Linked DNA regions of Caenorhabditis elegans. The protein of the gene in region 2 interacts with the protein of the main gene of each other region in a pairwise test. Each region holds a gene or a part of one and is shown on either strand. Other genes may lie near its edges.

Region 1 (4,982 bases), on a different chromosome or scaffold from region 2:
CAGAAAATATCGATTTACAGTCGAAATTTGTGCTCCAGCACGTGGACCCTTTGGACACCATGCTCCACCACGAACCGGCAGTTTTTCAAGCTTTTCTTGCTCTTCTTTTGCCACTTTCAGATGTTTTGCAAAGTTTCGGAGTCTGAAAATTGACATTTTTACCGTTAAAAAAAAACTGCTAAAATGGAAAATGCTGCAGGAAAATTCAATTTTTCGGAAAAATTGCTTAAAATCTAAATATTTCAGGTAATCATTTACTATATATAAAGCGCTTATTCCGTTTGTCCATAGTTTGTAGTCTATGTAGTCTTTGTATTCTGTGACGTTTTGGCTTCTGGAGGATAGTGAGTTGGGCTTAGTGTAGGGATATAGTCGGGGTACTGTAGTGGTACAATAGTGGTACGGTAGGAGTACTGTATGATTACGGTAGTTTCAGAAAAATTAGTTTTCAGCCCCAGAAGTCGGGGGCTGCGCCGAAGGTGCGGTCCACGGCTGGTTTACAATAAATTTTTATTTTTTTAAGTGAAAAATTGCTTTTAAAAAAAGTGATTTTTTATGTAAATTGCAAGAAAAATATTTTTTAGAAGAACAAATGCTGAAAATCTGGATTTTTGGGTGAATTTCTAAAAAAATTGATTTTTCGTGAAAAAAAAAAGGGTGAATTAGTTTTTTTCCATAAAAAAATGCTGAAAATTGAAACCTTTCGGGTTATTTTGAAGAAAATTGTATTCTTTTTTTGTGAAAAATCGCTGAAAATCGGGGTTTTTTGGGTGAATTTTCATAAAAATTAGATTTTTTTTCGATGAAAAATAGCTGAAAATCGGGGCTTTTCGGGATAATTTCAGGAAAATATTTTATTTTTTGAGTGAAAAAAATTAGAAGACGATTTTTTATAAAAATTGCAAGAAAAATGATTTTTAGTATTTAGGAAAAATGCTAAAATTCTGGATTTTTGGGATAATTATTTGTTTTGTGTTTAGGTGAAAATTGCTATCAATCGAGATTTTTTGTGTAAATTGCAAGAAATCTACTTTTTTCTACTTTTTTTGGTGAAAAATCACTGAAAATTTGAATTTTTTGAATAATTAGCAAGAAAATGATTTTTTAAATGAAAAATAGCTAAAAATCGTGATTTTTTAAAAATGTAATTAGCAAAAATCATTCTTAAAGGAAGAAAAATCACTGAAAATCCCGATTTTTTGGATGAATTTCCATGAAAATCTCATTTTTTTGCTAAATTTTCCAAAATCCATACGCGATATCGAACCAAACATCAACATCAATTTGCTGCTCGACTTTATTCGTTTCTTCCGGCTCTTTTTGCAAATTTTCAATGAACAATTCCTTCATTTCCATAATTCTTTCTCTGGATTTCGACGATTTCCACGGCAATTTTCCATGTGTCCAATCGTAGAGCACATAGAGCATCATTTCCATCATATCCAATTCAGTCATTCGATGAGATTGATCTCGATCGACAAAAGAGCGCGGCGCGTAGATCAAATCTCCGGTTTTCCAATGCAAATCTATAGATTCGGCTGTTCTGAGATGAATCTCGTCGATGGCACGGTGACGTTTGTCAGAGGAGACGGTGATCTGCAAATTTTTGGAATTTTAGTATGAGAAAAATCGATTTTTAACGAGAATCTGGGGTTTTAAATGCATAAATTGTTTATTTTAAGAGTCTGAAACCGAAATTTCTTCCAAGAAATCAAAAATTTGATTAATAAAAAAATAAAATCGAAAAAATAAACTCGAATTTCGACTGAAAATTGCGATTTTTAGTTTTTTTCAGTAGAAATTGTTTTTTTTTGACGAAGTATATGTTTTTAATAATTTTTCTAAAGAAACTCGCTGTTTTGCGGAGTTTTTGAAACCAACAATGTTGATTTTCAGACGATTCTGGGACTTTTATTCATTTTTCCCAAAAATTTCAAATTTTTATGGGGTTATTCAAGTAATGTAGCAAAATGTATTTAAATACATTTGTGACGTCACAAATGTATTTAAATACATGTTTTTATCTACTTGAATAAGGTTGTGACGTAATTTTTCTACACTTTTTAATTTTCCGACACTACTTGAATAACCCCATTAGGTAAAAATTGCTGGAAATTGAGATTTTTCGGGCAAATTTCAAGAAAAATAACTGAAAATTGGTTTTTTGTGGATTTACCGAGAAAATACGTTTTTTATGTGAAAACATTGCTAAAAATCACAGATTTTTGTATAATACGAAGAAAATACGCTTTTTCGGTGAAAATTGCTGAAAATTTAGATTTTTCGGGCGAATTTCAGGAAAATTACTGAAAATCGGGGTTTCTTGTTGTATAAATCCAAAAAATTAAGTTTTTTATGTGAAAACATTGCTAAAAATCGGCGATTTTTGTACAATTCCAAGAAAATACGCTTTTCAGGTGAAAAAATGCTGGAAATCGAGATTTTTTAGGTGAATTTTTAAGAAAATTGGTTTTTTCGTGTAATTCCGAAAAAATGCGTTTTCTAGGTGAAAAGTTGCTGAAAATCGCGATTTTTCTTGCAATTTTTTAGTGGAAATTGTTATTTTAAAAGCGGAAACATAGTCCGTACATCAGTAGCATCGGCCAAATAAAACTGCCTCGTTTTGATATCCAACATCCATTGTTTCGAGTCGAAATTTCTCAAAACCCATCCGGAAGCTGACAGAATTTCGATAGCAGAAATCATGTCGACAGCGAGGAAACTGGCAGTAGTTACGGACATTTTATCACTGCTCAGACATTTTAAAAGATCATGTAAAGTGGGTCCTGCACGGATTCTGACGACCATGAAGAAGACGTGATTATTTATGATTCCGGCATCAATTAAAGCGGAAAATCGATGAGAATAGCCAAGTGACGATTGCTGATGATAGAAATCTACTTGATTCGCGATGGTTGTCACGTTGTCCTCGCCGATTTCCAAGTAAAGAATCCCCTGAAAATTCGAATAATAATTTTTTTTTTACTTTTTTTTTTTTTAAATTTAATTTTTTTTAATAACTCACAAATTTCTTGCACGGCTTGTCACACACAAGATAACAATACGCGGCTCCTCGTTTCTCCTTTTTCTCCAAAATAATCCATTTACCATTAAAAAGCTTTTGCTCCTTCAGACCTGCCAAGTCCTCATCGGTGAATCGATGCTCAATGTTTTCTAAATCGTGTCCTTTGCGATTTCTGTTCATTTTTTACCTGAAAAGTTGATAAACTCACAAGAAAAATGGTGAAAAACAAGTAAATTTAGGCAGGAAAAACGAAAATTTAAATATTTAAATTTAAAATTCGCTGCCATCGAGAAAAGCGCAAGCAACACGAGAAACGCGCTAGCAGTGGTAGCTGACGCAACTTTCGTTATTGACGATTAATTTCAAAAACATGTTTTAAAACAATTAAAAATGATTTATTTTGAGGAAAAAACACACAAAAAAAATGCTTTTGAAGAAAAAAACATAAAAATTAAGAGCTTTCCTCGGTCAAACTGGAGAAAGAAGCCACCAAATTGGCGTTTTCATCTAAAATCTGCCGTTTCTTCCCAGTTTTCTTCAACAACATTTCAAGCTCTTCCAGCATCTTCTTCTGCTCCTGCTCCATTCGTTTCTCCTCTTCAACACGTTCGCCAAGCGATTTGCGTTGCTCTTTGAGCATTTCCACAACTTTTTCGATTTCAGCGCTTTTATCATTCCAATATTCGCATTTCTCCTCCTCTCTGTCACAATCCAGCTTCAAATCTTTGAGTTGTTGCTGAAAATGTTTCAATATTGCTTTAAACATTTTCAGATTTATTAATAAAAACCTTGTGCAAGTGGCGACGATAGTCGATTTCCTCCCGCATTCTCTGAACAATCACTCGCTTTTCCGCGAGTAAATCCAGACTTTCTTGAATTTCAGCAGAAAGTGTCGCGGATATTTCCATCGTTGTGCCCATCTTAGCCTTTTTCAGCTTCACCTGAACAAAAAATTGCATATAATATTAGTTTTCGCCATATCTTACGCGCATGGTCTCGTCACGCGGACAAAAGGTTACTTTTCATTGTGATAATTCACGGGTCGCTATTACAAAAACACTAAATGCTGAGAATGCGTATTATGCAACATATCTGACGGGCAAAGTATCTCGTAGCGAAAACTACAGTAATTCTTTAAATGACTACTGTAGCACGGATGTCGATTTACGGGCTTTTTTTTATTTTCGGAAACATTTCTCGGAAAATTCGGAAGTTTTTTTTGATTTTCAGAATCGGACCAGCGCTACAGTAGTCATTTAACGAATTACTGTAGTTTTCGCTACGGGATATTTTGCGCGTCAGATACGTTGCGCAATACCCATTCTCAAAATTTAGTGGTTCTTTTTATAGGTTAGTGCCCGTAAATCGACACGAGTTACAGTACCTCGTTCACAGCGTGGTGAGACCCACATAATTTTTTGACGACTATGTAATACCTCATTCATCATCTCCGACAAATGCTGAGCCCAGGCGGTGACGCGACACGAGATGTCCGATTCGCGACGTCTCGCCTTATCCACGCGATCCCAAAGTTCGGTGACCTGCGACTGAACGACATCGATCCGATTGCTCAGTTGCAGCTTCTTCTCCATTTCCAGCTCGAGCTTGTGCTCCAGAAGGCGACAACATTCGTCGACATCGTGCTCGTATTCGGCGACCGATTCGCTCTGAAAAAAAATCACTTGAACTTTTTCCGAATAGAAATTTCGCGCGGAACCCACCGTAATCGACGTTGTCAGGGTCAACTTCTCGCGAATCACTTTGATATCCATTTATCGATTGATTTTTCGGAGAAAAATATTCGGAAATAAATTCAAATGTCGAATAGGTTCCACATTTGCCACGAGAAATTTGAATTCTATGGAATATTTTAAAATCAAAATTTTGAATGTTCACGCTGGTAATTAATTGATTTAATAAAAGTATAAAACTTGATTTTCAAGCTCTCTGATCCGTG
Region 2 (7,401 bases):
TATTTTTCTCGAAGCTAATAATTATGGGATATCACCTGACACCATAGACGCAGACACAAAAAGAGCTCAAAAATAGTATTACAAGTAAGGAATGAGAATAATCTCACTATTTTCACAAATCTATACAAAGAGGCAAACTGATTTCAAAACTTTGCTTTTGTTCATTTCGACTGACTCTCTGCTTGAAAAGAGTCAGCGGAGTTTTCAAATACTTAAATATCTTTAAAGACACCTCGCAATCCAGAATGATCATCAACAGGTGAGATTATCAGTATTAAATGATAAATTCACGTTTTTTCTTCTTACTATTGTTCATGATTAGAACAAAACATCGAATATTTAAAATCCTTTGATTTTAATTTGAAAAATGCAAATAATAAATTTACTCTTTATTTCAGAGCGAGAATCCGAACTTTATGAATGCATTCACTTTGTTTCTTAATCTATCACGTCTAAAATAACTCGATGGCTACGTGACAAATGCAATATTTTCTTCTTTCAATTTTAACACAGACATAGTTCACTTTCCCATCGATAAGATCATATTATGCTCTCTGTTACACCTGAAGACTCATGTTTTTTTGCTTTTCTGTACAAAATGTTAACCGTTTGGATGAATAAACCGGCAACGACAAAAATGCTCAGGTGAGGAAATTTGAAACATGACATTTTAGCCAAACGTACAGTCTGGCGCTTCACTATTGCCTGGCGCTTCACTATTGCCACTTATTATTGTAATACTGTCTCCAAACGTTTACAAGCTTTAGAATTCACACAATTTCATTCAAAACTTTTTTCTATTCGATGTATTATATAAATGCACATTAAATAAATTCATAATGACTATAAATACATCAACATAACTAAATAATATTTGTCACACATCTGGTTTGCTCTATTCGTAGTGCACTATTTTAAAACTGTATATGTAAAACTGTATTAACTGATAATATTAAATTCCAAAGTTCAGCAATGAAGTGCATGCTTAATAGAGCAAATTTGATACAATTATTACATAAATATTAAAATTTAGATCATATTTTATGGCAGTTATGAATCTTCGTCGGACAGTTCAATTTCAATAACGTTTTCCAAACGTTCACAAGTCGCTGTAGACAATTGTCGCCTCCATTTCAGGTTATATTTTGAAAAAGATACACATGGATCAACCCGAACCTCCTCAACTTTTCCAACAGAATAAAATCTTTCTATTAGCTGTAAGTCCACCGAATATCGAATGCGGGATGCGTGATGAAGTCTAACAAAACATGATGCAATCTGCAAACAATCCAATTCATATATGCAAATTTGGTGATACTTCATGTGTGTACACCATTGACTAACCAATTTCCCATCCAAATTTGAAAACTTCTCATAATGCGGCCCACTTCTACAGGCAAATGTTCTACAAAGACATCTTTGCCTTCGAAACACCTTGTATTCTGAGCCATAATCCAGAGTAAGCTGAAATTAGTAATTTAAATGGTTATGTATATAACATTTTCAGACAAATGGACTTCATAATTTGCAATGAAAAATTAAAAACTATGAAAAACACAAATTTTTAGGATTACCGTATTTTCCTTCTGAGTAATGCGTCCCTATTAGACTTGCTCTCTAAGTGGTGTATCGAAAAAATAAAATGTTCTTCAGAAATATTTTAAAAGTATATTTTTTAGTTGTTCGTTGATTTTTCAATATTTATCCAGTTGATTCTCAAGAAATAATGTGTAATGGGAGTAATTTAAGGTGATTTTTTGTCTTTCAAATCACATACAAAACTGTACAAGTCTTACTGATCAAAAAATATGATATGCAACCTCTATTAGACTCTCGATTGGACAAATTGGAAATGAGATTTGCATGCAAAATGTACCATATATTCTGAACTTTTTCAGTTTAATGTAACTAAAATGTTGTACCCGGAACAGAATTGACACTTTTTCAGGCAGGCCCATCTATGGCTGCTTTATTTTAAAAATATAAAAATTTCCTTACAGGTTCTCCTGGAAAAATGTCCTTCAGAGTGAAAAAAATCATTCGCATATTGGCGGGTGTAAATCCTTCTTTGAAAAGTCGAAGAGGTTCCATATTCGGAGTACATGAATGATTTGCAAATCTGCCAACACTTCCTTGCATTTTGGCGTCCAAGTGAAAATGATGCTTGCTCAATTCGTCCAGTACATCATAGTATTCTGGATTGTTTTTGTACTTTTCACGAAGCAGGTTGTAAAGGTGTTTGTCTCCTTCACAGTCAGTTAACTGGTAACTATAATTTTCCAATGAACTATGCAGCCGTTCTCCATCAACTAGTTCTCCGCAGTATTCAATAATTGGAGTCCCTGCTGGAATGAACAGAGTAGATCGAATTCCAAATCCAATTTGAGGATCTGCACGATAAATTTCAATAGAGTACAGTTTCTTTTGAATCAAGTACGTTGCATTATTAGTGCAAGCTCCTTTACAAGCACATTTTGGTGAACATGCAAACCCAACAGTATTGTAGTAAGTCGGATTTCCATCGTTGTACATAAGGGGTTGAAAAGTATGCTGAAAATAGACAATTTGCAAAATAATTATTAAAACTGAGAAATATACTTACAAATTTCAACTTTTCATTTGTATCCGTTGTTTTGTTTCTAGATTGCAAAAACTGATTTGCAATAAAACACGGGCAATCTTTGTTATCAAAACAGTTGACGACTGGATCTTGGGAACAACATTTACAACGAATCTGAATAAAAAAGCTGATATACTTTTACTAAATGAAATATTGCATTGTCATTTACTTTTATTTTTAAATCATATATAATTCCTTCTCTTAGAGTGTTTTTTAATATTCTAACAGTTTCAACCCCTTACAATTTTGAATTAAAAATATTTTAAACATAATTCAAACATAAAACTACTACTAGAAACTGGAAGAAAAACATTTTTTTTAAACATAAAGTTGATGAAAACTCAGTTTTTACCGTTTTATTCTCGGATTTTGAAAAAAATCAAAACGTTTTCCAAATTAAGTTCAAAATTTTACAATTGTGATATTTGATGATTTTAGAGCCATAAAAATGGTTTTTACTTGTTCTCCAACTTGACGTTCTCTACTACTACTTATTCTACACGTTTTTTCTTAGGTCGCTCATCACAACTGTTCAAGAATGTTTTTCTATTGCCAAAGCCTGTCGTTGCAAAAACTATCGAATTACAATTTTAATTTTTCAACTTGCCAGTTGTTTTATAAATTCGAATCGAAAAACATCATACCACATTTTCTGACGATCCTGCAATTTTGATTGCTTCATATAGCAACGGCTCTTTAACTTTGTCCACCATATTGTTGATAATGTGATCATAAAGAAGGGGGTTTGGAATTTTGACTGTTTTTAGTGTTTCGCCTTTTGCATCTGTGTAAACTGGAATTCTGTGGGTATCATTTGACAAGTGAATATCATCCGTAATACGAATCCGTGTTCTAGGCGCCACATATATCAACTTTTCAAAGTAACGGTCGAGCTCTCTGAAATTAAGCTTTATAACATATAAGTCTACATAAAAATTCCTCACTCAGGTATTTCTTCTTCCCCATGATCACGTTCAGGTTCTTCATAGAAATTACGGCCAAAGGTGGCCAGACATCGAACAGCCATAAACAGAGCTCTCGTGCTTTGCTCGGCTCCCATGAATCTTCGGTAATATCCATTCAACGTTGGGTCTAGCTCTATAATGTCGTCGAACCTAACAGCTTCTTCGTGCATTAGACGGATGTCGTTGTGTTTCTTTATTACTTTCATTTCTTTTTTCCAGTGTTCTCTTCTTTCATTCAAGCTCATGTCGGAGTACTCAAAAATAGATGGGTGACGAAAGTCCGCAATCTGAAAATACAATTTTCAGCTAGAACATTGTCAATAAGTAGATAATTTTGAATGATACAGTTGAGCACTGTTTTTCAGTTATTGTAAATACAACAGTTTTATTCAATTCGGTTTTCAAATTTTTAAAATCTGTAAATATGATTACCCTCGCTGGGTTGACGTTTCGTAGTTCTGCACATATAGTACTGTGATGAGGAGCAAACGAAGATATTGTGCTGTATGTTTTCCTTTTATGACGTTTTGTTTTTGTCTGAAAAAAAAACATTTTGTTGCACAAGGAGGGGTCTCTCTAAATCTCTCTGTAAATGTTCTTAGCGAATTTGAACTAACGGAATTCGGTGGCAATAAAATATGTAAAACCCACTTGGCGTGCTGGAAATGTACATGATGTGGATGCTTCCATTGAGCTCGATGAGGTCCTACTCTTTTTTCGAGACTTAACTTCCAGTTTTCTTTCTTTCGAATGCTGGAATTAGTATTATTGTGAAAATTATGTTTTTTTTGTAGCAATTGTTTGATATACAAACAAATTCTCATCACGTACGATTAAAATATGAACATATCAGGGAGTCAAACAGTTCAAGAACAATTTTGATAATGGCCAATGGATGAAAACCGTATTTTTTCTGTATTTTCACATTCAAAACTTTTTTTAAAAATTTCTAGTTTCTAGCATGAAAAGTGAACATTGTCATTAAACAAATACAATTTGAAAGTAGTTTTTAGTTATAGAAGTGAGCAATCCAGTTAATCTGCATTCCAGGCCGTTGTCACTTCTGAGTAATTTGCTCTAGTGACTATTCACGTTCGAATCATTTTTCCAGAGTTCAATAAATTTGGAGCTGAAAGTCGCCAGACTGCTTCAATGAGCATTTGACGTTATACTTATTTAAAAATTAGTAGCAAGCTGCACATTTCAATTTCATACTTTTTTTCAGTACTGTGCAGAGAATACATTTTTTGTTAAAATTAGGCTAGTAGATATTACCGTTGAAATTGTTATATTTGAAGAATCTCGTTTCAAAAATAAAAACAACCTACTAATCTATGAAAAGATTCAACTGATCTTCTACGCTTTTCCGTCAAATTATTTGAAATCGCTCGATCAACAACTTCCTGCTGGTTTCTTTCCGTAGCCTGTAAAATGACTGTGATTAGGCGGAACTATAAATTTGCAACTATTCAGAATATATATCTTTTTGTTTGTTGAGAAGTCAAAAACATTGAAAACTTACTTCAGATTCATCATCACTAATTGTAATTATAATAGACCGTTCAACAGAGCTATTTGATGTGCTAGATAGGGAGTGATTTCTTTCATCTGAATAACTATTTGATGAGATGGGGCTTTTCCGTGGTTCTTCCCAAATGGTCAGTTCCTGAAGATAAGTTATCGTGAAAATGAAATCTAGGAAACGTTTCTATTTCAAACAAACTTCCATCTACAAAAATGGCACTTACATCGTCGTCGTCACTTATTGTTATTATTGGAACATTTGCTGTTGACATTGAATATGTTGATGAACCTCCAGTTCGAGATCGTTCCATTTTCTATAAGCAGTAAACTAATTAAAGTTGTGGAAAATGAATTTCATGTCGATGAATAAAAAATTACGATTATTACTATAGTACAAAGAAAAAATAAGATTCAATTATTGAAAACTTTCGAAAAAAAGAACTAACAATATGACAAGTTAACTCGCGTTTTGAAAAAATCAATAATCTTGTCCAGTGAAAAAGCGGAACAAATAGAGAGCAGACGTACTAACAGACGCAGATACTAAAGCAGTTTGAGAGAGAAGAGAGACTGGAATTGGGGAAGAGAGATTTAGAGAGTGCATTCTAACCAGTTCAATTGACTGACAAATGTGAGAGGAGCGAAGACAATATTAAAATCTTCAATTGTATTCGTATGAGCAGTATCAAAATTTAGAAAAAAAAGCCTATTAGTAAAATGTTATGTCTTTAAAAGAATGAAGGCACAAAAGACAAACGATATAGCTAAATACGATACGATATAGCTGAATACGATACGATATAGCTGAATAATTTTAGAATATACCAACAATATTCCAGTAGGTACAAGAAGCTTCACGTAGTTACAGAAATAGTACATTTTCAGCCCTACCTTTTAGAGCGTATTTTATTATTTAATAAAAACTACCATTAATAGGCAAAAATAGATGAATTTTTGTAATTTTGAAAATTCATAAATCTCTTCAAAGTAACTTTTTTTGAAATGTCTTTCAGAAACTTTGTAGTAAATTTTAAGCTCTTTCAGAATATATTAACAATATTTCAGTAGTTACAAGAAGCTTCACGTAGTTACAGAAATAGTACATTTTCAGCCCTACCTTTTAGAGCGTATTTTATTATTTAATAAAAATTCATCTATTTTTGCCTATAAATGGTAGTTTTCATTAACTAATAAAATACGCACTAAAAGGTAAAGCTGAAAATGTACTATTTCTGTAACTACGTGAAGCTTCTTGTACCTACTGGAATATTGTTGGTATATTCTAAAAGAGCTTAAAATTTACTACAAAGTTTCTAAAAGACATTTCGAAAAAAGTTACTTTGAAGAGATTTATGAATTTTCAAAGTTTGGAAAATCCATCTATTTTTGCCTATTAATGGTAGTTTTCATTAACTAATAAAATACGCACTAAAAGGTAAAGCTGAAAATGTACTATTTCTGTAACTACGTGAAGCTTCTTGTACCTACTGGAATATTGTTAATATATTCTGAAAGAGCTTAAAATTTACTACAAAGTTTCTGAAAGACATTTCAAAAAAAGTTACTTTGAAGAGATTTATGAATTTTGAAAATTACGAAAATTCATCTATTTTTGCCTCTAAATGGTAGTTTTCATTAAATAATAAAATACGCATTATAAGGTAGGGCTGAAAATGTACTATTTCTGTAACTACGTGAAGCTTCTTGTACCTACTGAAATATTGTTAATATATTCTGAAAGAGCTTAAAATTTACTACAAAGTTTCTGAAAGACATTTCGAAAAAAGTTACTTTGAAGAGATTTATGAATTTTCAAAGTTACGAAAATCCATATATTTTTGCCTATTAATGGTAGTTTTTATTAAATAATAAAATACGCATTATAAGGTAGGGCTGAAAATGTACTATTTCTGTAACTACGTGAAGCTTCTTGTACCTACTGAAATATTGTTAATATATTCTGAAAGAGCTTAAAATTTACTACAGAGTTTTTGAAAGACATTTTGAAAAAAGTTACTTTGAAGAGATTTATGAATTTTCAAAGTTTGGAAAATTCATCTATTTTTGCCTATAAATGGTAGTTTTAATTAAATAATAAAATACGCATTATAAGGTAGGGCTGAAAATGTACTATTTCTGTAACTACGTGAAGCTTCTTGTACCTACTGAAATATTGTTAATATATTCTGAAAGAGCTTAAAATTTACTACAAAGTTTCTGAAAGACATTTCGAAAAAAGTTACTTTGAAGAGATTTATGAATTTTCAAAATTACGAAAATTCATCTATTTTT

What was found.
Region 1: the proteins of set-6 (region 2) and prde-1 interact in a two-hybrid assay, tested with the Caenorhabditis elegans proteins (one large-scale study listed by BioGRID).

What each region holds. Positions count from the first base shown.
Region 1 is NC_003283.11:15,536,481-15,541,462, reverse strand, and holds the start of prde-1 (piRNA biogenesis factor prde-1), read right to left. Parts: upstream 3,220-4,982; 5' UTR 3,206-3,219; coding exon 3,026-3,205; intron 2,956-3,025; coding exon 2,590-2,955; intron 1,597-2,589; coding exon 1,256-1,596; intron 143-1,255; coding exon 19-142; intron 1-18. Other genes in the region: F21A3.4 (Trichohyalin-like), read right to left, coding at 3,477-3,761, 3,814-3,966, 4,462-4,692, 4,747-4,797. UniProt on the Caenorhabditis elegans protein: Nuclear factor required for the production of piwi-interacting RNA (piRNA) precursors. Specifically required for piRNAs produced from loci associated with the Ruby motif. Promotes binding of the transcription factor snpc-4 at piRNA genomic clusters.
Region 2 is NC_003284.9:11,969,257-11,976,657, forward strand, and holds set-6 (Histone-lysine N-methyltransferase set-6), read right to left. Parts: upstream 5,424-7,401; 5' UTR 5,421-5,423; coding exon 5,334-5,420; intron 5,252-5,333; coding exon 5,108-5,251; intron 5,010-5,107; coding exon 4,914-5,009; intron 4,339-4,913; coding exon 4,237-4,338; intron 4,123-4,236; coding exon 4,018-4,122; intron 3,873-4,017; coding exon 3,565-3,872; intron 3,518-3,564; coding exon 3,265-3,517; intron 2,735-3,264; coding exon 2,603-2,734; intron 2,551-2,602; coding exon 1,999-2,550; intron 1,465-1,998; coding exon 1,345-1,464; intron 1,279-1,344; coding exon 1,051-1,278; 3' UTR 774-1,050; downstream 1-773.